Linked DNA regions of Arabidopsis thaliana. The protein of the gene in region 4 interacts with the protein of the main gene of each other region in a pairwise test. Each region holds a gene or a part of one and is shown on either strand. Other genes may lie near its edges. The genes, in order: AT3G62920, SRS6, APX6 and RGS1.

Region 1 (4,840 bases), about 14 Mb from region 4:
CACCAAAAGAAGAAAATGATGACGAATCTATGCTTATTATCACCCATAAATTTTGCTAATTCAATTGACACATGGCCTTATCACGAATCTGCCAAAGATTCTTCATTTCTGTAGATTTCCAAATCTGGTGTCAGAATCATGCTTTCCTGTTTAAATCTGCTAAAATTTTGTATTTTTGGAAAGTTGAAAATGCAATGAACATGGATTCTCTTTCTCGTGTTCAATGCAACAACAACTACAAAGACTCTTAAGAGTCAAGACCAACAACTCTCACATTTAGATAAAAAAACTTGAAAATGGTTTTGACAAAGTGTAAAAGCTAAAGTAAGAACTGTGTTGGATCACTTACTTGCTCTCTAGACTCCAGGTCACACAAGCAGAAAAGTATCTCAAAGACGATCCTCTTTTTGTTTGTTTTTCTTGCTTTCCGTTTCTTTAGAGCCTGAAACTTGTGGGGAATCTATTGTTGCTTGAAAAGATAAGCATCTAACTGGATAAACCATAATCCAATCTCCACCTCAGTGGATGCATCAAAAGCAAAAGATTTTGCCAAAAAAAGAAAAGCACCATAGAGTAGACATGATCACACTGTTGCATACCTCCCTGGATCCGTGGATCATTACAAACCATATGACAAGGATATTTCCGTAATTAGAAAAGAAAAGTTTACATGAACTGTATATGCAACTTGGTTCTGATGTTCATGCAGTTTTTAGAGAACGCCAAAGGGCACATCACTAGTATGGAAGTAAAGTAGTGACAAAGATCTGATTTATGCAACGTTACCATCCTCCACGTATCCAACTCTATAAATAGGCCTACTTTGTAATTTGTATAGCATCAAAGCAAAAACAAACATAAAGATCCTTGAGTTCCCACTCACATAGTCACACTACATTTGTATCACATTTATATACATAGAAATGGAAAGCGTTAGAAGTTTAGTTGAAGACAAACCAGTGGTGATATTCAGCAAAAGCTCTTGCTGCATGAGCCACTCAATTCAAACACTGATCTCAGGGTTTGGGGCAAAGATGACGGTCTACGAGCTAGACCAATTCTCAAACGGTCAGGAGATCGAGAAGGCATTGGTACAGATGGGGTGTAAACCCAGTGTACCAGCTGTGTTCATAGGGCAACAATTCATCGGTGGTGCTAACCAAGTAATGACTCTTCAGGTCAAGAACCAGCTAGCCGCAATGCTAAGAAGAGCCGGAGCCATATGGGTGTAACAGAAGACAAGAGAGTCAAATGCAAACTAGGATAGAATAAGATGAGAATGATACATATCGTTGTTTTGCTTCTTCTTTAATTTTCGGGGTTTCGAGTATCTACCATGCACGGATATGTTTTCAACAAGTGCAACACTATAGTTTACACAACTCTAGAGCTAATTAAGATCAAGAACTTTGTATTCTCAGTTACCATACTTGTTAAATCAACCAATATAAGCTAAGAAGACTAATAAGCAATAAAAGAGAAAGATTTGCTTTTCCATTGATACCTAAAGATTGTTCAACAAAATGAAAGGCCTTTTATTTATCATCAGCCATGAGAAAAGAAGAAACAAACAAAAGTAGAGATTTTCACTAACTTCTTCACTTGTAAATGTAATCTTTTAAAAGGCCATTTGCATGCTCGACCTCAGAATGTCTTCGCCAACTATCAACAGCTCTAGAAACTGTAGCTTTTGCTTCCCGAATCTCTTGAGCCGAGAACTTGTGCTCTATGATTCCCAAAGGTCCAGGTTGCAGAACATTGATCACAGTTTCAGCTTCTTTCTCAAGCTGCCTGTACAAAATGAAACCTTAGAATTTCAACATAAACACACACACAAAAAACAAATCTTTTATTGTGTAATCTCTTGTCATACGGAGAAATACGATGCAAGCATTAACCAACCTAAAAAGCTCTAGATTGGATACAAATTGAATTCTTTTTATCAGTCAATTCTTCAATAGTAACGCAGTAATACAATGAAGAGAAGAAAACAATGGAGAAACCTTAAGATCCCGGAGAAGGGTAAAGCTCTAGCGATCCTGTAAATCGACATCGTCGCCGGAGGAAGAGAAGAAATTGAGTACCGCGATTCAATTGATTTATTATTTAACAAAAACTCAACTTCGCGACGAATCAGTTTTGACTTCACATATATTGGGCCATAGGCCCATAGAGTTACTAGCAGGTGTAAGTTACACCGTGTAACCGAGAATGTAAATTAGTATGGGCTAAAGGCCCAATAAATAAAAGGGTTTCTTCTATAATTGGCGAGGATAGTTTTGTCCTAATAGCCAAACACGTCTCATCATCTAAACTAGGCTTCCTTATCCAGCAACTCCCGCGCCACTCGTCTTCTTCCACCTCTCTCTCTAGAGTCTAGACAATGAATAGCTCGATGACGACGAGTCCAACGGCTCGAGCCTTCCTTCATCTTCACTCGTCACCATTCACTTTACGTTCGAGAAAGTCACCGTCTGGAGTTTGTCTAGTCTCGTGGCCGCCTTCTCGGTCTCGCAGGACTCGACGACTCGTTTGTATGGCCGTAAGTGATTCTAGTTCTCCCAATGTTGGATTTTTTTTTCAAAAGTTTCAGAATTGTTCGATGATTTTGTCTGTTGAAACATTTAGGAACCTTACCTCATTAGGAAAATGGAGTCTGTTGAGAAGACATGGAAGGAGTTATCGGTTTGTTCCTACACTTATTCCATTAATGGTTAAGGTTTGTTTCTTAATCTCATTCTTAAGAGTTTTGAATGATTTGTAGGTGAAACTAGCTGACCCAGATGTTGTTTCGAATCAATCTGAATACCAAAAACTGGCACAATCCATGTCGGAGCTTGACGAGGTATTTGCACATTCTTTTAGTGTTCAAAATTTGCAGCTTTTTTCGGGGTTTCTTAACATTGAATTCAATTTTAGGTTGTAACAGTCTTCAGAAGATTCAAGGACTGTGAGAAGCAGTTACTAGAAAGCAAAGGTCCCTTCAAGTCTCCTCCTTTCTTTTACTTTGCTTTGATTCTGTTCCTCGGAAGCTGGTTATGATTTACTGATTGGTTTATTGCTTCAGTTTTGGCGAAAGAGGCTGGAGATGATGAAGATATGGCTGAAATGATAGGAAGTGAAATCAACTCGCTCACTAAAGAAATTGAGGAGCTTGAAAAACAACTTAAGGTTTAGAGCCTTGGTTCCATAGCTGACTTATTCGGCAGCTGAAAATCGAATGTTGCTCATTTTAAAAATTTGATTCTGATACTCAACTCGTAACATTGTGTTGGCTTGTGTCAGGTGTTACTTCTTCCTTCCGATCCTCTTGATGCCAGAAACATTTTGCTTGAAGGTAACTGACTAAACTATATGTCGACAAGTAGTATCATTTGTCTACACTGGCCTTTTTTCTTGAAAAACTGCCTTTTGCTCGGACTTCCCGCCATTGTTTTACCTATCTACCTCTGGACGAGTCTGAAATCTTAGTTCCTTCCGCAGTTAGAGCAGGAACTGGTGGCGATGAAGCTGCAATTTGGACTGGTGACCTTGTAGGTACATGCTTTCCTTGATTTCTTCTGATCCTCTATCTGATTTTAATGCCTTCCGATAGTTCACCGTTTTGTTTCAGTCTTATTTCTTAAAAAACTTTCAAATTTTATTGTTCCTATATTTCATGGCTAAGAGAAGCAAGTGCAATAATTAAAAACTTCAGATCCTACCATGAATCAGTATGCTTTGCATTATTCTTTTGCTTGCAGGTGCGGATGTATCAGAGGTACAGCGAGCGCAGCTCTTGGAAGTTTTCAATGGTTTCATGCTCAGAGGTGAGATGCTCTCTGTGTTTTGTTTTGGCATTTAAGGAGTGTGTAATGAAAATGGCAGTAGAGCATAACAACTTAGAGACATGTTCTCACCAGTATAGCTTTTTAATCTTCCTACTTTTATAAGGCTGAACATGGAGGTTACAAGACGTGTGTGATGGAGATTAAAGGAAATCGTGTCTATAGCAAGCTCAAGTATGAATCTGGTGTTCATCGAGTCCAGCGTGTTCCTCAAACAGAAACACAGGGTCGTGTACACACTTCTACAGCAACTGTAGCCATCATGCCAGAGGTAAACTAGCTTTCGCATGTTCCATTTTTCGATATTCTGATTGATAATTGGTAACCAGTCCAAAACTGTCATCTCTGCTTTGTTTTTTTTGTCATTTTAGGCTGATGAAGTGGAAGTGGTGATTGACCCAAAGGACATTGAACTTACATCTGCAAGATCTGGCGGCGCTGGAGGTTATGCTAAAGAAATTCGCTTTCTGTTTCTCTCACATTTCACTTGCTAATAATACTGAAAAGAGGTCTTGGTGCAGGCCAAAATGTGAACAAGGTGGAGACGGCTATAGATCTATTCCACAAACCGTCAGGTATTCGCATTTTCTGTACAGAAGAAAGGACCCAGATTAGGAATAAGGCGCGTGCTTTCCAGCTTCTGCGAGCAAAACTGTAAGCAACATTCAAGGAGCAAACTCTCTACTCTTCTTCTCCTCTATCAAGTCCCACCTTAGTCTTTTTTTGTTGAAACATTATATGTCTATATATAGGTATGAAATAAAAGTAAGGGAACAACAAGAGAAGATAAGGAATGAAAGGAAATCTCAGGTCCACTTCATTTTATTATCCCCATAGTCTTTCTAAACTCAAGGTCATCATCAAATATTCATCTTATTCTGCTCTATGTCGATTCTTGCGGAAACAGGTTGGGACTGGAGCTCGTTCAGAAAAGATAAGAACATACAATTATAAGGTAATACACGGATCCAGAGCCTTGCTTTGAAAACTTGATGGATTCTGTTTTGCTTATG
Region 2 (5,693 bases), about 11 Mb from region 4:
ACATTACATCAACAAACGTAAAAAAATGTTTGTGTCATTAAATGTTTATCCACGTACTCTTCACAACGATCATAAGTCATAATTCAGAAAATTCCTTTAATAAATGTGAACTGAATAAGCTTTTGTATAGTCATCAAATAAAAAGTCAACTGTACAATTAAAAGTCCGCAAACATCTCGATCGTCTAAGAGACGACTTTTCTCGTAACTTTATGAAGAATATACAATAGTAGTGGCTTGATCGCGTCCACACATTTACATTGCGACTTTTCTTGCATGCCGTCTCACGCACTATATTTAGGCAAAACACAATTGTCTTCATTTCAAGACTAGTTCTTGTTTTCTCCATATTCCTCAACAACATCAAAATGTTGACTCCCACCATTTCTAAATCCATCTCTTTAGTAACCATTCTATTAGTTCTACAAGCTTTCTCTAACACAACAAAGGCTCAAAATTGCGGTTGTTCGTCAGAGCTATGTTGTAGTCAGTTTGGCTTTTGCGGTAACACTTCAGACTATTGTGGTGTAGGTTGCCAACAAGGACCTTGTTTTGCTCCTCCCCCTGCAAATGGTGTCTCTGTGGCTGAGATTGTAACGCAAGAATTCTTCAATGGAATCATCAGTCAAGCCGCGTCTAGTTGCGCCGGCAATAGATTTTACAGTCGGGGAGCTTTTCTTGAGGCCTTAGACTCATATTCTCGTTTCGGTAGAGTTGGATCGACCGACGACTCTAGGCGTGAGATTGCAGCGTTCTTTGCTCATGTCACACATGAAACAGGACGTAAGTATATATAGTAACATGTTTCACTTTACTCTTTTCTTATGATGCATACATGCATGTTCTCTATTAAATACCAAACAAAAACAAAATATGAAAACGTTAGAACTTGTTTTTGTTTTCTAAAAATCATTAGACTAAATAACATGTTTTACTAGATTAGTAATATCTTTTCATCAAACGCATATAGCATAATCACTTTTCAAAATCATAGAAACTTGACTAGAAATACTTTGAATATGTTGCAGCATTCGATCTAATAATTTCGGTTTTTGTTTTAGATTTCTGCTACATAGAAGAGATAGACGGAGCCTCAAAGGATTACTGCGACGAGAATGCAACACAATATCCATGCAATCCTAACAAAGGCTACTACGGCCGCGGACCGATCCAACTCTCTTGGAATTTCAACTACGGGCCAGCCGGGACAGCAATTGGTTTCGACGGCCTGAATGCACCGGAAACAGTAGCCACGGATCCAGTCATATCCTTCAAAACCGCCTTGTGGTACTGGACCAATAGGGTTCAGCCTGTTATCTCTCAAGGTTTTGGTGCAACAATCCGTGCCATTAACGGTGCTTTGGAGTGTGACGGGGCCAACACAGCCACCGTTCAAGCTAGAGTTCGTTACTACACGGATTATTGTCGTCAACTTGGCGTTGATCCTGGAAACAACCTCACTTGCTAACAAAAACATCTATTTCTCTGTATACATATATAAAAGTAAAAATAGACAAGCTTTAAGAATGGAATGGCCCATTAATGTTTTGTCCCTTAATGTCGAATATATATAAAATCCACTTAGTTAAAAAAAGACAAAAACTTTGAGATGAAAACAGAGAAACTTTATACACAGAATCCTATGAAGTAGTTTCCATCATTTTTGAGAAAGACATGGAAAAGCTTTGTTATGATCAACACCATAGTAATGAAGAAAGCCTTTGAAGATATGACCACTTATAGTTACTGTTGCTTGATAACCAATCTCTGCTTGCTCGTTGTTGCTTATCGCTGTTACTCTCGTCCGTTTAAAAACCGCCGGAGCTTCAATTTTCCCCGGTAACCCCTCTCTGAAGCCTCTCTCTGCAATTTTCCACACAAAAACGCAAAATTCAGATTAAAAAAGGTTTTGTTCAATTCTAGTTCCAAGATTCATTACCTTGACGAGAAGTGGTTGTCGGAAGTAGCGAGACATTAGGGGAACTCTGTTTATCGATTTTGAGCTTCTTCTTCCTCTCAGAAGGAGAAGATGAAGAACGAGTTGCAGAAGAAGGAATCCACGTGCTCTTCACGTGAGTGACACAGTTGTATCCTCTGCTTTTACAACAAGTTCTACATCTTTCGAACAAACACTCTTTCTTTGCTCTGTTTCCACAGTCTCTGCATACTTTCTCTCCAACTGTGTTGTTGTCTTCCACCGCCGCGAAGTTTACCGGAGGAAGAGATGGCCGTGTTATCTGCGTCGGTGGTGGAGATAAGAGAATGATGTTTCGAAGACCTAACATGTAGTCTGGAGTAGTACTGATTCCAACGGCGGCGACGGAGGAGGAAGAGTGATCAGGTGGGATTGAGACGGCGGCGAAAGGTGTTGAAGATGATGATGGTTGTGGTGGCCATGAGAGGGAAGAAGGTGGATTTGCCACTGTGGCAGTAGTAATAATAAAAGCGCGTGGAGGCTAATCTAGTAGGTGGAGCTTAGCTATGGAGGAGTCTAGTAAGAGTAGTGAGAAACAGAGAGAGAGAGCAATAAACATAAGTTTTTTAATATTTGGGGTTTTGACAGAGTTTTGTGGTCACATGTAATGGTTAAAAATGTTCTGCAGAAAATGAAATAATTATCTTTCCAAGTGGAGTGGTCCACTTCATTGGGAAAGCACCCGTCTAAAACGGCTTTATATCCCACTTTGTGGGTCTCCTCTCTATGTGCTTAAGCTTTGATGGGATAGATTTCTTAAGAGGTTTATTTGGTATGGATTGCTTGTAACAACTACACTAGAACAGAGGCTATATCACAAGAAGATTTTGAATCGAATGTTTTAGTTTATTAGGTTTTTTTTTTTTCATTTGAGAAATCAAACTTAGAAACATTGCAAGACTCACTAAGTCTAGTTGTTTATAGCATTCAACTTATATGCAAGAACAGATTTCTAGCAGGGGAGTTGATCCTTGTAGATGTTCAAACCCGAGGTGGATGCAGTAATTGGGCATAGCCTGAGAGAAAACGAATACTGTGCAGGCGGAATCAGAAACTTATCGTGAACACATGGAGTCCAGCTATCATCTCCCCCAAGACCCATGTGTTTGTGGTCCAGATGCACCTGCACAATGATCACCATTCAAATGACAAAGACTTAACTAACAAAATGACAACTGATGCTCAGGTGTTTGATAAGTCGTTTCCATTCTTGAATTCAAATATATCTGGTCAAGAGGATCAAGAGATTGAGGAAAAGACAATAGATTACTACCTCGATGTTTTGTCCTTTGATAAGATCCTCTTCATGCGTTGCACGGTGAAGCTCACCGGTTGTATAATAACTAGCATTCATTTGCATTAGAGAAGAGCTACCATATGTTGAAGCATATATTCCTACACCATCTTTGTTTCGGAATGTTACCCACCTAACATCTGTTCTACCTCCATTTTCTCCTGGAACAATATAAGGGACATGCATGTCTCCAACATTGTGTTCATATATCGCCACATGGGCTGCTGCTTTTCGGTCTGGGTAACACTCAAATGGACCTTTGCCATACCATTCTACACGGTCCAGTGTTTTTTCAATGTGGAATTCTATACCTACACGTGGTAGCGGTGGAAGATCAGAGTTTGGTTCTACAAACCAATTGGTGATGATATCTCCGGAACCATAGATCAGATATGTCACATTGACTTTGAATAAGGCATCTGACTTTGAAGAGCCAGAAGCTGAAGAACCAAGGTAAATGAACTCTATCTCTACGGATTTATCAGTGATGCTCTTTACTGAACAGCTTTCAACAAGGAACTCCACATTATCTAACTGTGCCGCTTTCCACCTCGAAAAATAACTAGAGTCACCTCCACCTTTATCATTGTCTGTAGGTGCTCGCCAAAAGCATGGCAGTATAGCTTCGTTCATAAGGAGAACTCCTTGAATCTGTCATTTTTGAAATGATCTTAAGAACAGAAACATTCTCACTCAAGATGAAAAAGTGTACGCATTACTTTCACTAAAACATCAACCAAGAAAAGATCTTCAATATCGAATCTATTTTTTAGTTTTATGTTTTGCACTTTTCTCTTTCATTGCCTAGCTAGTTATATACCTTTTTCCTATGGTAGTATTTTCTTTGCAACAACTATGTACTCAGTATACCCCCAATGCGTTAATATAAATCAGGAAAGTGGTTACAACCGGTTATATCAAACTTTAGATCCCAACAGGATCGTTTACTTGAGTAACTAACCTATATGCCTACAATATGTAAGACTTCTTCCCTATAATTTTTATGCATTACGAAATTGTTTTAGAGCTTCGCAATCAAGAAATAAAACAGAAAAGAACTTACCTTCCAACCTTCAATAGTCCCTTTTCGGACATTTACCATTAGCTCCCATGAATCTTTCTGGCTGATCTTAATGAAATCTCCAACAGTTTCACAAGTGATACTAGTGTCTGTCTTTTTTATCGCCTAGAGTAGGAGGTTACTTACAATTGTCAGGAATTCATATTTTCTAGCAGAACGACGAGAGATCTTTCCAAAAGAAATATGACTTGTAGAGGATGTGGGAAATACCTGCGGTATTATTTGTCCCTTTGCTGGTAAAGGAATCTGCGTTGAAGACAAAAGATGACCGGCTTCAAGCGAACGAGTAAGATTTAAAAGCTTGGCATTTATTGTCAGAAACAATTCTCCAGCATTTGAGTCATTCCAGAAAGAAAACCATGGACCTGACTTCCACTCCATCTCAAAACTATTTTGTGGCTTTATCACAGGAATAGAGAGAGTCCCAGATCCAAGTTCAAGACCATCCCCATGAATTGTCCAGCTAAACTCCAATTCTTCTGTTGTGTTGAAAAAGTAAGTGTTTGCAACCTGCAAAGATAAAGTTTGAGCTACATAGATGGTATTAAAACCAAAGCCAACTGAGTTGATGTATATTAAATTGTACCTTTATCATGCCATCCGTCAATGAAACCTTGATTGGTTGGTAACAATGCTTAACCTCTTAAACAACGCAAAGACATGGTGCAAACAGAAGAAAATTAGTGCCATTTGAACATGTATCATGGTCAAGTAGTCAGAAAAAGGGAAACATATGTGATACTTTTTAGATTTATGTTCCTTAACTTCAATTTCTTGATTTAGGAAAATATTTAGAATTTCCATTTCTTGACTAGTTTTTTTTTTTAACTAGAATACTTTTTATTAGGTACTGGCATAAGTAAGGATGAGATTTCGTCTGTGATTCTCATCCAGGGTAGAGAGAGAGCGTTGGAGGTTATCGGTTCTCTTTTCAATCGAGAGAAAAGCTTTTTAAGCTTTCTTATCGGCTTTGCCAAGAGAAACGTTTCTAACAGATTTTGGTGATATAGTTCTAATTTGTTTCTATTTCAATAAAGAAGAGTTTTTTATTTTCTTTCGTGATTCTTAAACTCTACCAGTTGGTCCGACCTAACAACGGACAAATGCCAAAAGGTATGACTACTACTCGAACAGAGAGAAGTTTGGAAGCGTTAGAGAAGAATAAAAAAATTCTGTGTGAAAAGTTGGATAGTATGCAAGCTGGTTTGAAGAATGTTTTCGATGCAATTATGAGTTTAACAACAATGGTTGCTGCAATCCAAGGGGGCACGGTATCTGAAGTATCTCAAGAAACATCATCAGATTCTGTCGTGGTCCATATAAACAACAACCACTGTGCCATAA
Region 3 (6,665 bases), on a different chromosome or scaffold from region 4:
CAATTTCCTTTACTAGAAAAGTGGTAACAGCTAAAAAAGGTATGATTATCTTGATTAGCACTGAGAGAGATAGAGTGATTAGAGAGTAAGCAAAGTCAGATTAGACACAAAAACCACTTTTATTAAGAGACAAGTTGGTCCAGCGATTAGGGTAAGATAGAGGTACCAAGTACAACAGTGACACCTTTCCTTTCTTGCTGCTTCTCAAAACTTTCTCCCTCCATCATCTCTATCTAATCCCAAAATTTCATTATCTTATCTTTTTATTTTCATACATTTTTACTCCATTTGTGCTTCCTTTTCCTTTTGTTTCTAACTCAGCATTTTCTTTCTAAATTTTTTTAAATGATTTATTATTGGGATTAACAATTGGAAAACCTTTTTTCATAAAACTGATATATCCTAATAATGTTTTCATAAATAATTTAAATTAGTAAATTGTTAATTAGAATTATAGTTTTAATAACAAATAAGTATTGTAAAATGATTATACTACTTTAGTTATCAATGAATTTTTTCAGATCAATTTTTTTTTTTTTAATTCCATGAATCTTTTTGAGTATCAATTCTTAATTGTTCATTTTTCCATTATTTTATTTTTTGGAACTTTCGCATACATGTAGTAGTAGTAGTATCTCAACGTGGTATGGCAATAGTCGCAACACCTTGAGACTTGGATTTCTATACATTGTGAAGTATGGTAGCAGTTTTTATTATAGATTTTGCTTTTATGTTGGTCGGTGTGTATCCTTGTTGGAAGATTCGCTTCACCATTCACATATCAAATTTTATCTTATCCAATTGAATGCGATTGTACTACTCTTTGATCACGATGTATTTTAAATAATAAGAGATAATGACTAGTAGCCAAAAAAAATAGGTTGTTAGACAAAACACACATGTTAATATCTCTTTTGACATAGAAACGGCATATTCCTATAAAAACTACATCTACCTACGACGATTCGTACATGACCTATTCCTTTTCTTCGTGTCTAATTACTACATGAACAAAACATAAATTGTAAAATCTACTCGACCTAACTTATAAATAACTGCTTAAACGACATAAATCGTAGCGGTTTTAGCGTCTCGTTAAAAGTCAAAACGTCCGACTGCTGAATAAAATTCAAACACTGAAGACTAGAATCGTCATCGTTTTAGTTTTGTAAAGTCAAATCAAACACCGAATTTATTATTCGGTGTGGCATAGAAGTAAGTTGGTGTCAAGTTTGAGTATCTTTTATGTTTAGTTTCGTAGTAGTAAACTAGTAAGCAGCGAAATTTTTACTTATTAGCAAATAAGCATTACTACCCAAATTATTCGGGCATGTTTGAAACACTTATGAGCTAACAAAATATAAAACTAGATTAGATATCATAACATATTCCATTTGGCCCCAGAATTTACTAGTTTGATATAAGCATTTGTGAAGTCTTCGAAGAACTTGTCTTGGTCTTCTGCATACCGTTTCACCCACCTGTGCATCATCAAACCACGAATCTATATCAGTTGAATAGTTATCCAGATTACTCAAATGGCAAGAACAGTGATCAACAGTTTACAGTCTTGCCAATGATCCTATACTCTCTAAGTGTTCATCTACTTTGAATGGTACTTGAGAGAAAAATAGGTGATGAAATGATAAGGTAAGAACTTTGAGTAGATGAGAAACCTTAAGCACTCATCATCCTGCACTAAAGCATGATCCGAAGGAAGCCCGACCATGCTCGTCATCTTAGCTACAGCATTGTAAGAAAACTAAGTAAATATACAATCTCAGTCTTACAATCAATCTTCAGAACATAGGGAGGAATGGTAGAAAACTGAAACTCTATGAGTAAAAGAACTTAAGAACCTTGTTATGACTTATGAGACTTACAAGTTGACGTCCATGGTTTTTCAAGAAGGATTTTGTAGTATGCATTGTCAAAAACTGTCGGATCTCCAAAGCCTTTACTCCCAATCGTATGTGCCCCAGATAAGGCAACAAGCTCCTGGGTCCTGGAATGGCACACAAACCCAGTGATGTTAAGTTACTCATACACATACATTGTGAAACAATTCTCAGCTAAGGACTCACGAAAATCCTTTTCTTTTGAAGCATTCTTTCAATCCCGAGGCACTCAGGGTTTCTGGAGGTAGCTTGCCTTCTGGATCAGGTTGCCTGTGAACATGAAACAATCACCCTGTTAAAAGTATAGAAACAGTGACCAGAGATCTATCCAATAGGATTAAAAACCGTTTATGTTGTGCTTACGCTGAATCAAGTCTTCCCAAAACTACTGGAATTGTTGGGCCGCCACATATTGAAACTGCTTCAGACCCAGCGACAGAGATCATATCCGCCCAAGACACTGAGATCACATAAAATGTGAAATTAGCACAAAGGCGCATAACAGAACACGTTTCTTTGGTGCACACAGTTCAAATAGTAATTTACCTGGTTGTATCTCGTCAACCTTAACCTTTGCTTTCGCTAGAACCTAACAAAGAATCCATTTTCTACGAAGATTACTTATTTGAAAATAAGACAAATCTGATAAACAAGTGCAAATAGACACAAAAAAGAGCAGTTAAAATAGATGCGAAAATTACATCCTTATTAGCTCACGCCAACAGATAAAAGAGAGGGATTTAGTGCCTTTAAGGATTTCTTCAAACCTATGTTCTCAGGTCTCTCAAGTTCATAAGCAATAGATCCGTTGATGCCACCTGCAATTGAATTCATTACCAAGAAGAACTAAGACATAGTTACAGTATCTTTCAATGAGAACAAAGGAAAATACCAGCAGAAGTATACTAAATCGCAAAGACCTGAACCTAAACCAACCAAGCTTGGTTCATCAAAGCCAAAACTGAGGTATATTAAATTGTAAAATGATAAGAACATCCTGAGAGAGCCACTGAACAAACCAGTTCTCACAATACTTGATAGTCTATTAAACTAAGCCAATAAACATTCACAAGCTACCCAAAACATCCAAAAATTCACAGATTCCATTCTAAACATAAATCTAACAAACAATTTTTACATTTGCAAACTTGTCTATCACCAACCAGTGAACAAATAAAGGAACTTTCAAATCTATATCCATGTTCACCTATGTTGAGTTTACAATGAAGGAAACAATCTAACTTATACAAAATAGCAACTTGACAAACGAGTCAGATATACTATACTTGAAAGTAAAATTCTGATGATTACAGAATACATAAGAGTCATGGAAAGTTACCAGAATGATCGTCCAGTTCAAAGGTTCCAGCATCATGAAACACTAAACGAAGCACACCAGCAGCCTTGCCCTTTGTCACCACTTTCCTTATTTCGTTTTGCATCACCGGATAAATCCTGAAAATCCAACTATCAATTTAGTACAAAAAAATTGGAAAACTATAATTTGAACAAAAACCAAATTCAGAGTCAATTACACAAAATTAAGGATTTGTTCAAACTCACTCAGCTGCGTTCCCGTTTTGCGGAAGCATATGAGACAGAAGCTGCACCGTCGACAACAAGACTACCATTTTCCTTCTACTTGCAACGAAAACATGACTCGAACCTACAAATTATGCAATTAGCCAGGACAAGTCGAAGAAAACGAAAACAGTAAAATAGCAATGGCCAACGAAACCAGAATCCGGTCTTACCAGGATCATCGGATAAGCAACGAATACGCCAGGCTCTTGACGATCTGACAACATGTTTCTCGGTCGCCGGAGAGAGCAATCGCGTTTTCGCGGGAGATTCGAATTTGCATTTGAATTTGAAAGATGAAAACGAGTCGCACCGAAACAGAAAAGTCTTAACCAGAGAAGCAGTCGTCGTCGTCATCTTTAACGGTGGGACGAGAGTCTCCGAGACCCTAGCTCAAATTTATGAACCGGGAGTTTCATTGTCTACCCACAAGCGTACAGTAAGCAAAACATTATAGCCAATAGGAACGTAGGATAGAGAGAAGGAAGACCACGGCACGCATTCCGAATGTAAAACGACATGGAGTTCTGTGACAGTTAAGAAAAACGACGGGTAATCTATGAAATAATTGATCTCGGAACGTTACAAAACTGAGTGATGGCTATTCTTTTAAGATGTAACACAAAAACAATATACAACAAAACATGGTGAGCCAAAAACCTATTATATAAGATACTAAAAATTGGCTAAAAAGATTGCTATCTCGGACCGGAGAGTCTCACGGCGGAGAGATAATTCTCACTGTTACAATCGGACGGTCCAGATGACGTAGTAGCACCGCCGTCCTCGCTGATGGACTTAAAGAAGCTTGAGTAAAGTCTCGATCCCATAGTGGAAGAACTAGGTGGCTGGACCACCGGAAAAACACCTTCAAGCATTTGAACAACTTTGCTCATCGAGGGTCTCGTTTGCATATCTTCTTGTATACACCAAAGTGCGGTTTTCATAGCCCTTTGAACCCTTTCGTCAGTCACATCAACATTCTTCATCTTCCCATCGACAATATCCATAAGCTTCCCTTCTTCCATCTTCTTGAAAGCAAAAGAAGGAAAATGGCATTTCTCCGAAGTTTCTGATGGATCATAGTTCTTTCTTCCTCCTATTAACTCTAGCAACACCATTCCGTAGCTGTAAACATCACTCTTCTCTGATATCGCATAGTTTGTGATCCATTCTGGAGCCAAGTAGCCTCTTGTCCCGCGCATTGTTGTGAAGACATGGCTTTGTTCGCGGGTCATGAGCTTCGCCAGTCCGAAATCGGATACCTTGGCATTGAAGTTATCGTCTAATAGGATGTTCTCGGGTTTTATATCGCAGTGAACAATCCTTGCATCACAATCTTCATGTAGATACGCTAAACCTTTGGCTGTTCCGAGTGCTATGTTAAATCTTGTGTCCCAATCTAGAAGAACATCGCCATCCTTTTTCCTAAATATCCATCTCTCCAACGAACCTTTGGATAAGAACTCGTATGCGAGCAGCCTATGAGCCCCTTCTGCGCAGAATCCTCTTAGCCGCACCAAGTGCAGATGATGAATACTTCCGATTATACTAACCTCGGCTCTGAATTCTTTCTTCCCTTGACCGATTCCTTCAAGTTTCTTCACAGCTAGACGAGAACCATCTGGTAAAGTACCTTCATAGACCGATCCAAACCCTCCTTGACCTAACTTCACCGAGAAGTTATTCGTCGCTGACTGAAGATCTTTGTAAGCGAACCGAATAGGCATCCCGGATAAGTTCTCCAAGAAGTTATCTTCTTCTGAACTCTCTTGAGGAGCCTCCAAAATCATTTTCTTTCTCTTATGAATCCGGAAGGCCACAAAGATCAAAACAGCGATGATAAAAACTGTTACCACGACAATAATCACTACATAAGGAAAATGTTTCCCATCATCTTCTCCGTTATCTCCACCTCCAGAACCAGTACTTGCGATCTTGATGTAAGACACAAACCCAGAGCCTCCATTGCCAGAGGTTTTAAAGCTTCCAATATAATCAAACAAGAAGCAATTACCAGAACTGTTCTGGAAGAAAAGACCAAGGCACGAGCAATTGTTGTGGCAGAACTCTTTACAGCTATCAAGATCAGTTTTCTTGGAGAACGGAGGAGCATACCCAAGAGCGAAATAGTCTACACCGTCTCCAGCACTTACTAGCTGCAAAGGCAATGTTGCATTATCCTTGGTTTTCTTACAGGGAGAAGTAATCCCGGTTTTGCAATCAGACCGAGCCCGAGACAACCCGGACACACATCCACACACTTTAGAACCCGAGCAGACATAGTAAGGCCCGCAAGGCTCAGGTGTTCCGCACAGATCGCTAGGTATTTTAGTCGAAGAATCGGCAGCAGATGCTCCGCTTCCAAGATTAGAAAAAGAGATCACACCGTTGTTTCCCAAAACAGCGATCCAAGTTGTGTTATCATCTTTATTGTCTGAGAATACAAACTGCCACAACAAAACCTGTTTCTGATCAAAGAACCGCCATGAATTCCCAAGGAGAGACGATGAAGTCACTACGCCGCCATCTTTGTTGATGATCCTCTCTCTGGCATTTGCCATTGACCAATACACTTGAGGGGTTAAGCTGTTAACAGATAAAACCATATCTCCTGATTTGATCTCAAGGGCATAAGTCATGTTGCTCGAAGAAGGACTGCTAGTGAGCTTCATGCCTTCTTTGAAAGCTTGATTCGTGATCAGAGTATCTGTCGGATGATCAAAACTCTCCCAGATCGAAGTTCCGTCAACGGAAACAACAACGAGATTCCCGGAGTCACGCAGCTCGATTCTTGAAGCGTTTTTGCCTGAATTATCCAATCTCCAAACCTCAGTTCCTTCCATCACCACATTTCCGTTGTCATCGAACACAAACTTGTCGGAATTGGAAACAGGGGAAGCTCTGTTCGCGGACCAGATCAGTTTCGTGCTGCTCTTGTGGATGATACTGAGTGTGAACAGAGTAACGGAATCTTGTGTAGTTACGAAACCGAAACCGAAGGCTGAGTTGTTGGATTCGAGGAAGATACCATCGTTGTTGATGTAATTCATCTGAGATCCTCCAAAACCTGGAGTGATGCTCCCGATGGACGCTACACCGGCACGTAGAGGATCCGGTAAGAAAACCAGACACGTTACGATGACGATGAAGACGCCTCTCATGGTCTTCAAAGATGATGAAATT
Region 4 (7,188 bases):
AACTCGAAGACGGTTGCTGTGAAACTTCAAGTGTTTAAAATTCTCGGCTTTGTAAGTATTACCAAAACTCTTGCTGTTATAAGGGAAACTGGTAGTACTGACTCATACATACACCATATGCTTCTTTTACTGATCATTAGTGTTTGCTGTGTGCAGATTCCGGTAAAAGCACCTGATGGTACTGCACGCGGTGAACTAGAGATTACCTATGTGGACGAGGAACTACGGTCAGTAGTGAATGATAGTTTTTCATTTCTCTATGGAACTGACAACCAAAAACATTTGAATCTTGAAACAATGTTCATTTTTTACAGGATATCAAGGGGCAAAGGCAACTTGTTGTTTATATTGAAGATGTTTGATCCCACTTATCGAATCCCTCTCTGATCTATCGAAAAAAATAGTTTCGAGCTATCATACATACTTAAAATCGCTTGTTCTGTCTCTCTATTCATCATGTATGTAAAAATCTAATAAGAGAGAATAAAAAGAGACTAGCTTTTGTCAATGATTCAACTTGTTTTGATCGACATTGCACCACATTAGATTAAAAAAGCTCTAAACTTTGAATTCGGTACAGAAAATCAGAAAAGGACTCATGTCCTCTTCTTTTGAAATATGTTACAATAAAAATTTGGTTTCATTTCTTCTTCTTTCTTGGTGCGTTTTCTCTGATAAACGACGCCGTATGAAGCTGGCGAGACACAGACCTCTCATTTCGACGCTTTCTTCTTCGTGAAACTCTTCATTTGTTTTATATTGGAAACAGAGTCTCTCTTATGAATCAAAGCGACAAACTTTGAGAAGGCAGGCGAAAATCTCGGATGGGTTCCATCGCTCTGCAATCTTGGAGCAGAGGAGCTTCAACTTCTCTTCATCTCCTTTTTCGTCCAGGTAGGTAAGTGCGATTCCTAACTTGATATGATCATATATATGAGAATTCGACAAAGATTTTTGGTTGAAATTTGCTTACTTGATGATCAGTTGGCTCGAACCCTAAGCTATATGATGCTCGAAGAGTACAAGTAAGATTCTTTAATGTTGCCGCTTCTTGGTCCGAACAGATGATCTCTTATACTATAGTCTGTTTATTTTGTCTTTTGGGTTTTAAGTTTGATGTAAGAGCCTCTTCAAGTCGTAAATCACTTAAGAAACTCAAAAGAGAGTCACAACAAGGTAAAGACATAGGCTTAAGAAATGTTACAGATGAAGAAGTTTCTTCTCCAAGATTTGAGGAAGCTCAAGTTGATTCTTCAACTTCAAAGGACTCCATTGATGTTTTTGTTGCTGCTCCTCGAGACAAAGTGCTTCAGGCTTGCACTGTAACTTCCGGTTTGATGGCTGCACTAGGTCTGATCATCAGAAAGGTGAATCCCAAATCTGAAAGTTTATGATTTTGTGATTCTAGCATTTGTATCTTGCTGATTTGGTTACCGCTTGCAGGCGTCTCATGTTGCTTCGACTGAAGGATTACTGGTTCCAGACTGCTCTATAGATGTACCATGTAACATCTCGGAAAACGATTATGTTGTGTACTAAGAATCCTTTGAGAGATTCAGTAACCAAAACATGTTTTGTATTGCATGATCTTTCTTGCAGTTGGGTTTGAAACTTGGCATCTCGGTTTAATTGCTGGAATCGTTGTGTTTATATCGTCAAGTAGGTTCTTGCTACTTAAATCTTGGCCAGATTTTGCTGATTCTAGTGAAGCAGCAAACCGACAGGTCAAAACATTACACATTATATACATTTATACGATTCTTTAAACTCCGCTTATTGTCTCCTTTGGTATTCACTACTTGCAGATTCTCACTTCCCTCGAACCTCTAGATTACCTTGTTGTTGCAATGTTACCGGGAATAAGTGAGGTAACAATAAACAATCACAATAAAACACAGAAAGGCTCTCCTTTAGAAAATGTCGTTCATTGGTTTGATTTGGTGTATTCACAGGAGCTGCTGTTTAGAGGTGCATTAATGCCTTTGTTCGGAACTAATTGGAATGGTATTGTAGCGGTTGGCCTCATTTTCGGTTTACTTCATCTCGGGAGCGGAAGAAAGTATTCTTTTGCAGTTTGGTAAGCCGTTTTTACTGAACATTTTGGTACCTCAATGCTGATGAGAATTGCGTAGACCGAATCTTGATATTAGATGATTGCCTTTAACATGTTCTTGCATCTCTCTATCACATTTCCGAGGTTTTCCTATTGAATTCTTTGCGGTTTCTTGAAATTTTCAGGGCTTCGATTGTCGGTATAGTCTACGGTTATGCAGCTGTTTTGTCGTCGAGTCTTATCGTTCCAATGGCCTCGCACGCACTCAACAATTTGGTGGGAGGTCTGTTGTGGCGATATAGTTCCAAGATCAAGTCATTGGAGTGAAATAAACAAAATTTACAACAGGGTTGAATTAAAAAAGTATACAATTTTAATGGGTGGGTTTGTGAAATCTCTCAATAGTATAGGGTGGTTATGTCAAAAATCTATAATAGAGGGTGGTTATTGTAATTTTAATGTACCAACTTGTCACAAAGGACAAGTATGAAAAATCTATAATTATAGAAGTGAAAAGTGAAAAACCAATCAGAATTGTTACCGGAAAAAGGAAGTGTCTTCTGGTCAAAAAAGTCAGAGAAGAAGAGAGAAACGTGAACAATGAAGAGACAGAGACGTCTCTTCTCTTATGCGAAAGTGTGAATCTTTTAAAGCTTTTTGTTTCAACATCGATAAATGAAGTTTCTTTTATTGAATTTATAGAAATTTGCACACTTTACCTTGACATTAAAGCAACAAGCTTTGAAACCAAATAAAATCTCAAAAACCCAGAAAGCGAGTGGAGAAGAGAGAGCTGATATGCTACAATAGAAATGGCGAGTGGATGTGCTCTACATGGTGGTTGTCCCAGCGATTACGTCGCCGTCGCAATTTCAGTCATCTGCTTCTTCGTGTATGTGTTCGAGCTTAAAAATCCCATTTTTGGGTTTTAGTTTTGAAGATCTAGATTTTTCATTTACTGGGTTTGCTTGTTGACTCTTGACTTGAGTCAAAATCTCGAATTTTGTGTCTTTAATCGTTTAAAATTTTCATACGATGTCTCTCTTTGCTATTTTAACTCTTTGTATTGTAAGTGTTTGATGTTATGTATCAAAAGATCTGTCTTTTGTTTCGTTTCAGTTTCTTTTAGCTGGGAATTAGATGGTTTCAGTATCTTGATAGCAAGATTCATATATTATGTCGGAATCGATTATTGAACTTAGATTTGAAGTTCAAAAGCTTGATTTAATGGACTAATTGAGTGGATTTGTATCATGAGTTAACTTCCAAGTAGTTCAATTTCTCTATTAAGTTGATTCTATCTGATGGATTTCACTTTGTTTATTTAGGCTGTTATCGCGCTCAGTGTTACCGTGTTTGATTCATAAGGCTCCTCGTACTAACAGTAGCAGTTTCTGGATCCCTGTTATTCAAGTTATCTCCAGCTTCAACCTTCTCTTCTCAATTATGGTTAGACTACTTGACTTGATGATTCCGTTGCTCTTAAGAATCACTTCATTTGTTGAGTTTCTACACTAATAGACTGTTTTATATTTAATTTTCAGATGTCAGTTAATTTGCTTCGATTCAGGACGAAACATTGGTGGCGATATTGCTATCTTTGGGCAGGTTTGTTTGGAAACCATGATTCCTCATCTTCGTAAACAAATTGACAGTTATATCAATAAGTCTTGTATAATTTGGTTTCAGTGTGGATTGAAGGACCACTTGGGTTTGGTTTGTTGATGAGCTGCCGTATAACTCAGGCATTTCAACTATACTTCATATTTGTCAAGTGAGGTTCAATGTTGATCAAAATGTTTTTGGATTCCAATTCTATCTCTATTGGTGTAATTGAGTTTAATGCTGTTTGGTTGTTACATATTCTTTGCAATGTAGGAAACGTCTACCTCCGGTAAAATCATACATTTTCCTCCCCCTTGTTTTGTTGCCATGGATCTTCGGAGCTGCAAGTAAGAATTGTTCTGAACGTTATATGTACTGAGCAGTTCTTGGTTTCTCTTGTTTTGGATAATAATAACTCAAAGCTTTTGATTTTGCATTTAGTTATCCACGCAACAAAGCCTCTCAACGATAAATGCCACATGGGTCTTCAATGGACTTTCCCAGTTGCAGGCCTTCATGCTCTCTATGTCCTTGCTTTAATTGCATTCACAAGAGCAGTTCGACATGTAGAGTTTCGTTTTGACGAGCTTAGAGATCTCTGGAAAGGAATTCTCGTCTCAGCCACTTCAATCGTTATATGGGTAACAGCGTTTGTGTTGAATGAGATTCATGAAGAAATCTCTTGGCTTCAGGTTGCTTCAAGATTTGTGCTTTTAGTCACGGTATGAAAGCTAATACCAGGACTGTTCTTTATATTTGCAGTTGGAATACCTTTTTAACAGACTTCTGAGTTGATTCTTCTTTCAGGGTGGGATTCTCGTCGTTGTCTTCTTTTCCATCTCGAGTAACCAACCTCTTCTTTCACAAATCAGCTTGAAGAAAAGACAAAACTTTGAGTTTCAAAGAATGGGTCAAGCTCTAGGCATTCCCGATAGCGGATTATTATTTCGGAAGGAGGAGTTTCGACCTGTTGACCCAAACGAGCCACTCGATAAGCTTCTTCTCAATAAAAGATTTCGCCATTCGTTTATGGAATTTGCTGATAGGTACTCCATTCAATACCTGACCTCATATATATCCCGGTTTCACCATTTATTTAAACTAATTCGTTATATGCTGGTAGCTGCTACGCTGGAGAAACATTGCATTTTTTTGAAGAGGTGTATGAACATGGTAAAATCCCGGAAGATGATTCGATAAGAAGAATCTACATGGCTCGACATATCATGGAGAAGTTCATCGTCGCAGGTTAATTACATATCCATCTTCCCTCTTCTTTATAGACCTGTCTCGTGTGTTCTCTCTATAAATCTAACTAGTAATTCCTTAAAACACAGGAGCGGAAATGGAATTGAACTTATCTCATAAAACCCGACAAGAGATCTTAACCACTCAAGATCTAACTCACACTGATCTCTTCAAGAACGCATTAAACGAAGTCATGCAATTGATCAAGATGGTAAAATAACATCTCTCTTTCACTCTCTTACGCACGCCTTCAAGCTATTCTCTTGATTCTCATTTTTTTGTGCTCATGAATTTGAAGAACTTGGTAAGAGATTACTGGTCATCCATCTACTTCATCAAGTTCAAAGAAGAAGAAAGCTGCCACGAGGCAATGCATAAGGAAGGATACAGTTTTTCATCTCCAAGACTGAGTTCAGTTCAAGGCTCTGATGATCCTTTCTATCAAGAACATATGTCAAAGAGTTCCAGATGCAGTAGTCCCGGTTAAGGAGTCTAAAACTGGTACTAGACCAGAACCCAAACCAATGTTCATAGCAATCCAATCCATGTAATCTTCCTTCACATTTCTTGTACATGTCATTTTCTCTCTTGTTATACCTAACTGTAAGAGAAAATGTCCGGTTCGGATTTTGGTTTAGTTTTAAATGTGTATACCGGACAAAAACTATGGAACCATACTAATTAATATCTCGAAGAATTTATACGTATATGCCATCTGTTTCACCAAGAATAAAAAAGCACCTGCAGATTGATCTTCATGTCCTTGCAGAGTGATGATGTTGCATCACATGTTTCATGATGTGATGACATATCCATTGGCCTCGCTAAGGCTTTTCATCAACATTTTGACATAATGTTTTTTTCCACCACTATATTTTGACGTGTACAACATCTATAACGAGAAGGTGGGATGGTCATCAAATATTTCAATTTTAGAATATAATTTGTTACTGAAAAGAGAAAGTTGAAGAATTTTTTAGGTTTATCATATGATTAAATGATATTAAAAGTTTTAAATATCTATAAAATATAAAATTAAATATTGTTGAGCAGCAATAAAATGTCTTTAGGTAAGTTTTTAAAAAAAAAAATCATCTGTTACCATTTAAGCTCTAAATTATTCAGTAAAATTCTGCAAGAAATGTCAATTAAACCCTAAATTCAGTAACTTAGCCAGATTTATTCTGCTGTTAACATATAAAAATTAAATGTTCAAAAAATAAAACTTATATGTGTAGGTAAGAAGTCTTGTCAGCGAATGAAAAAAAAGTTTAAATTAATGTTTCATTATTATGGTGAATCTTTCCCAAATATTAGTGGTTCTCATCTCACCATAAATAAATATTATTTCCCAAAGAAGTTTTTTTTATTTTATTTTTGGCTGTCTACCATATGGTTTTGGTATATATATGGGTAGCAATTATTGGGTGTTGTCGATGTTCTCTCCAAGATAGTTTATAAAACTAAAAGGAATCTTTATCAGTTTATCTTTCACCAAATTAGTTAATTTCAATATATTTTTTTGGTTAAATTGTTTAGCTTATGGGGAATTCTCTAAATAGTAATTACATCTATTTTCTGTTCCAAGACTATTATGAATAAATTTTCGAAAATGCTACAAATTAGTTGTGATAATGTTATTTCCTTTTCATTCTTATATCTCAATCTTAATATCTTCATTCTATCTTTGTTTAAAACTCAAACTAAAATGAAAACTCTATAACATCTAGACATGAAAACTCTCACTAAAATGAATTTAACAAAATTTACTTCTATTTTCGGTGAAAATAATACTCCTTATAAACATGAAAAAGAATGAGGATGTCATCATAGTGGATAACTATGTAAGGACTCATGAGTAATATAATCAAATTATTAGCAGATATTAATAAACTACTATAAAGATCCGTTGGATAGATAGATAGATAACTTGTTCTACCACTCAAACCAAGTTTTGGATGCACACGTCTATATACACACATAACACATGCATACATGTATTGATCATCATGATGTTATATTCCATTACAATCAAACATATATGTGACATATAATCACAAATTTTCTTATAATTTGTTATGTTATTTACTGAGAAAGAGATCTGATCGCTTTATAAGTCCGCATAAAGAGACACCACAACTTTCTTTCTTCTTCATTCACTTCTATCAACGCCAAATTTGCAGACTTTCCCAGGACCAAAATTATATTAAAAAAAAGTTCCTTTTTTCTGATCAAATTGTGAAATTCGCTTGCTTGCTTTCTTCACAGTCAATTAATTCTCT

Evidence for each region.
Region 1: the proteins of RGS1 (region 4) and AT3G62920 interact in a two-hybrid assay, tested with the Arabidopsis thaliana proteins (one large-scale study listed by BioGRID).
Region 2: the proteins of RGS1 (region 4) and SRS6 interact in a two-hybrid assay, tested with the Arabidopsis thaliana proteins (one large-scale study listed by BioGRID).
Region 3: the proteins of RGS1 (region 4) and APX6 interact in a two-hybrid assay, tested with the Arabidopsis thaliana proteins (one large-scale study listed by BioGRID).

Annotation. Positions count from the first base shown.
Region 1 is NC_003074.8:23,257,930-23,262,769, reverse strand, and holds AT3G62920 (zinc metalloproteinase aureolysin), read right to left. Parts: upstream 2,174-4,840; 5' UTR 2,054-2,173; coding exon 2,004-2,053; intron 1,792-2,003; coding exon 1,599-1,791; 3' UTR 1,473-1,598; downstream 1-1,472. Other genes in the region: AT3G62930 (Thioredoxin superfamily protein), read left to right, coding at 924-1,232; APG3 (Peptide chain release factor 1), read left to right, coding at 2,384-2,542, 2,629-2,685, 2,765-2,845, 2,920-2,977, 3,068-3,171, 3,286-3,337, 3,484-3,533, 3,744-3,809 and 5 more.
Region 2 is NC_003074.8:20,145,568-20,151,260, forward strand, and holds SRS6 (SHI-related sequence 6), read right to left. Parts: upstream 2,655-5,693; 5' UTR 2,285-2,654; coding exon 1,939-2,284; exon of another isoform or gene 1,863-1,938; coding exon 1,657-1,862; 3' UTR 1,468-1,656; coding exon of another isoform or gene 1,061-1,467; 3' UTR 1,059-1,060; downstream 1-1,058. Other genes in the region: EP3 (homolog of carrot EP3-3 chitinase), read left to right, coding at 368-782, 1,061-1,467; AT3G54440 (glycoside hydrolase family 2 protein), read right to left, coding at 2,927-3,097, 3,248-3,919, 4,332-4,454, 4,560-4,859, 4,936-4,991. UniProt on the Arabidopsis thaliana protein: Transcription activator that binds DNA on 5'-ACTCTAC-3' and promotes auxin homeostasis-regulating gene expression (e.g. YUC genes), as well as genes affecting stamen development, cell expansion and timing of flowering.
Region 3 is NC_003075.7:15,599,948-15,606,612, reverse strand, and holds APX6 (ascorbate peroxidase 6), read right to left. Parts: upstream 3,893-6,665; 5' UTR 3,837-3,892; coding exon 3,653-3,836; intron 3,565-3,652; coding exon 3,462-3,564; intron 3,354-3,461; coding exon 3,238-3,353; intron 2,717-3,237; coding exon 2,646-2,716; intron 2,488-2,645; coding exon 2,445-2,487; intron 2,359-2,444; coding exon 2,262-2,358; intron 2,169-2,261; coding exon 2,085-2,168; intron 2,006-2,084; coding exon 1,884-2,005; intron 1,744-1,883; coding exon 1,677-1,743; intron 1,482-1,676; coding exon 1,379-1,481; 3' UTR 1,213-1,378; downstream 1-1,212. Other genes in the region: SD2-5 (S-domain-2 5), read right to left, coding at 4,178-6,643. UniProt on the Arabidopsis thaliana protein: Plays a key role in hydrogen peroxide removal.
Region 4 is NC_003074.8:9,530,018-9,537,205, forward strand, and holds RGS1 (REGULATOR OF G-PROTEIN SIGNALING 1), read left to right. Parts: upstream 1-2,595; 5' UTR 2,596-2,865; coding exon 2,866-2,945; intron 2,946-3,381; coding exon 3,382-3,502; intron 3,503-3,597; coding exon 3,598-3,661; intron 3,662-3,742; coding exon 3,743-3,827; intron 3,828-3,931; coding exon 3,932-4,005; intron 4,006-4,099; coding exon 4,100-4,380; intron 4,381-4,465; coding exon 4,466-4,704; intron 4,705-4,781; coding exon 4,782-4,906; intron 4,907-4,995; coding exon 4,996-5,117; coding exon of another isoform or gene 5,118-5,126; exon of another isoform or gene 5,127-5,142; intron 5,143-5,204; coding exon 5,205-5,393; 3' UTR 5,394-5,612; downstream 5,613-7,188. Other genes in the region: AT3G26080 (plastid-lipid associated protein PAP / fibrillin family protein), read left to right, coding at 1-51, 157-387; AT3G26085 (CAAX amino terminal protease family protein), read left to right, coding at 825-894, 985-1,367, 1,444-1,504, 1,600-1,724, 1,806-1,868, 1,953-2,077, 2,239-2,380.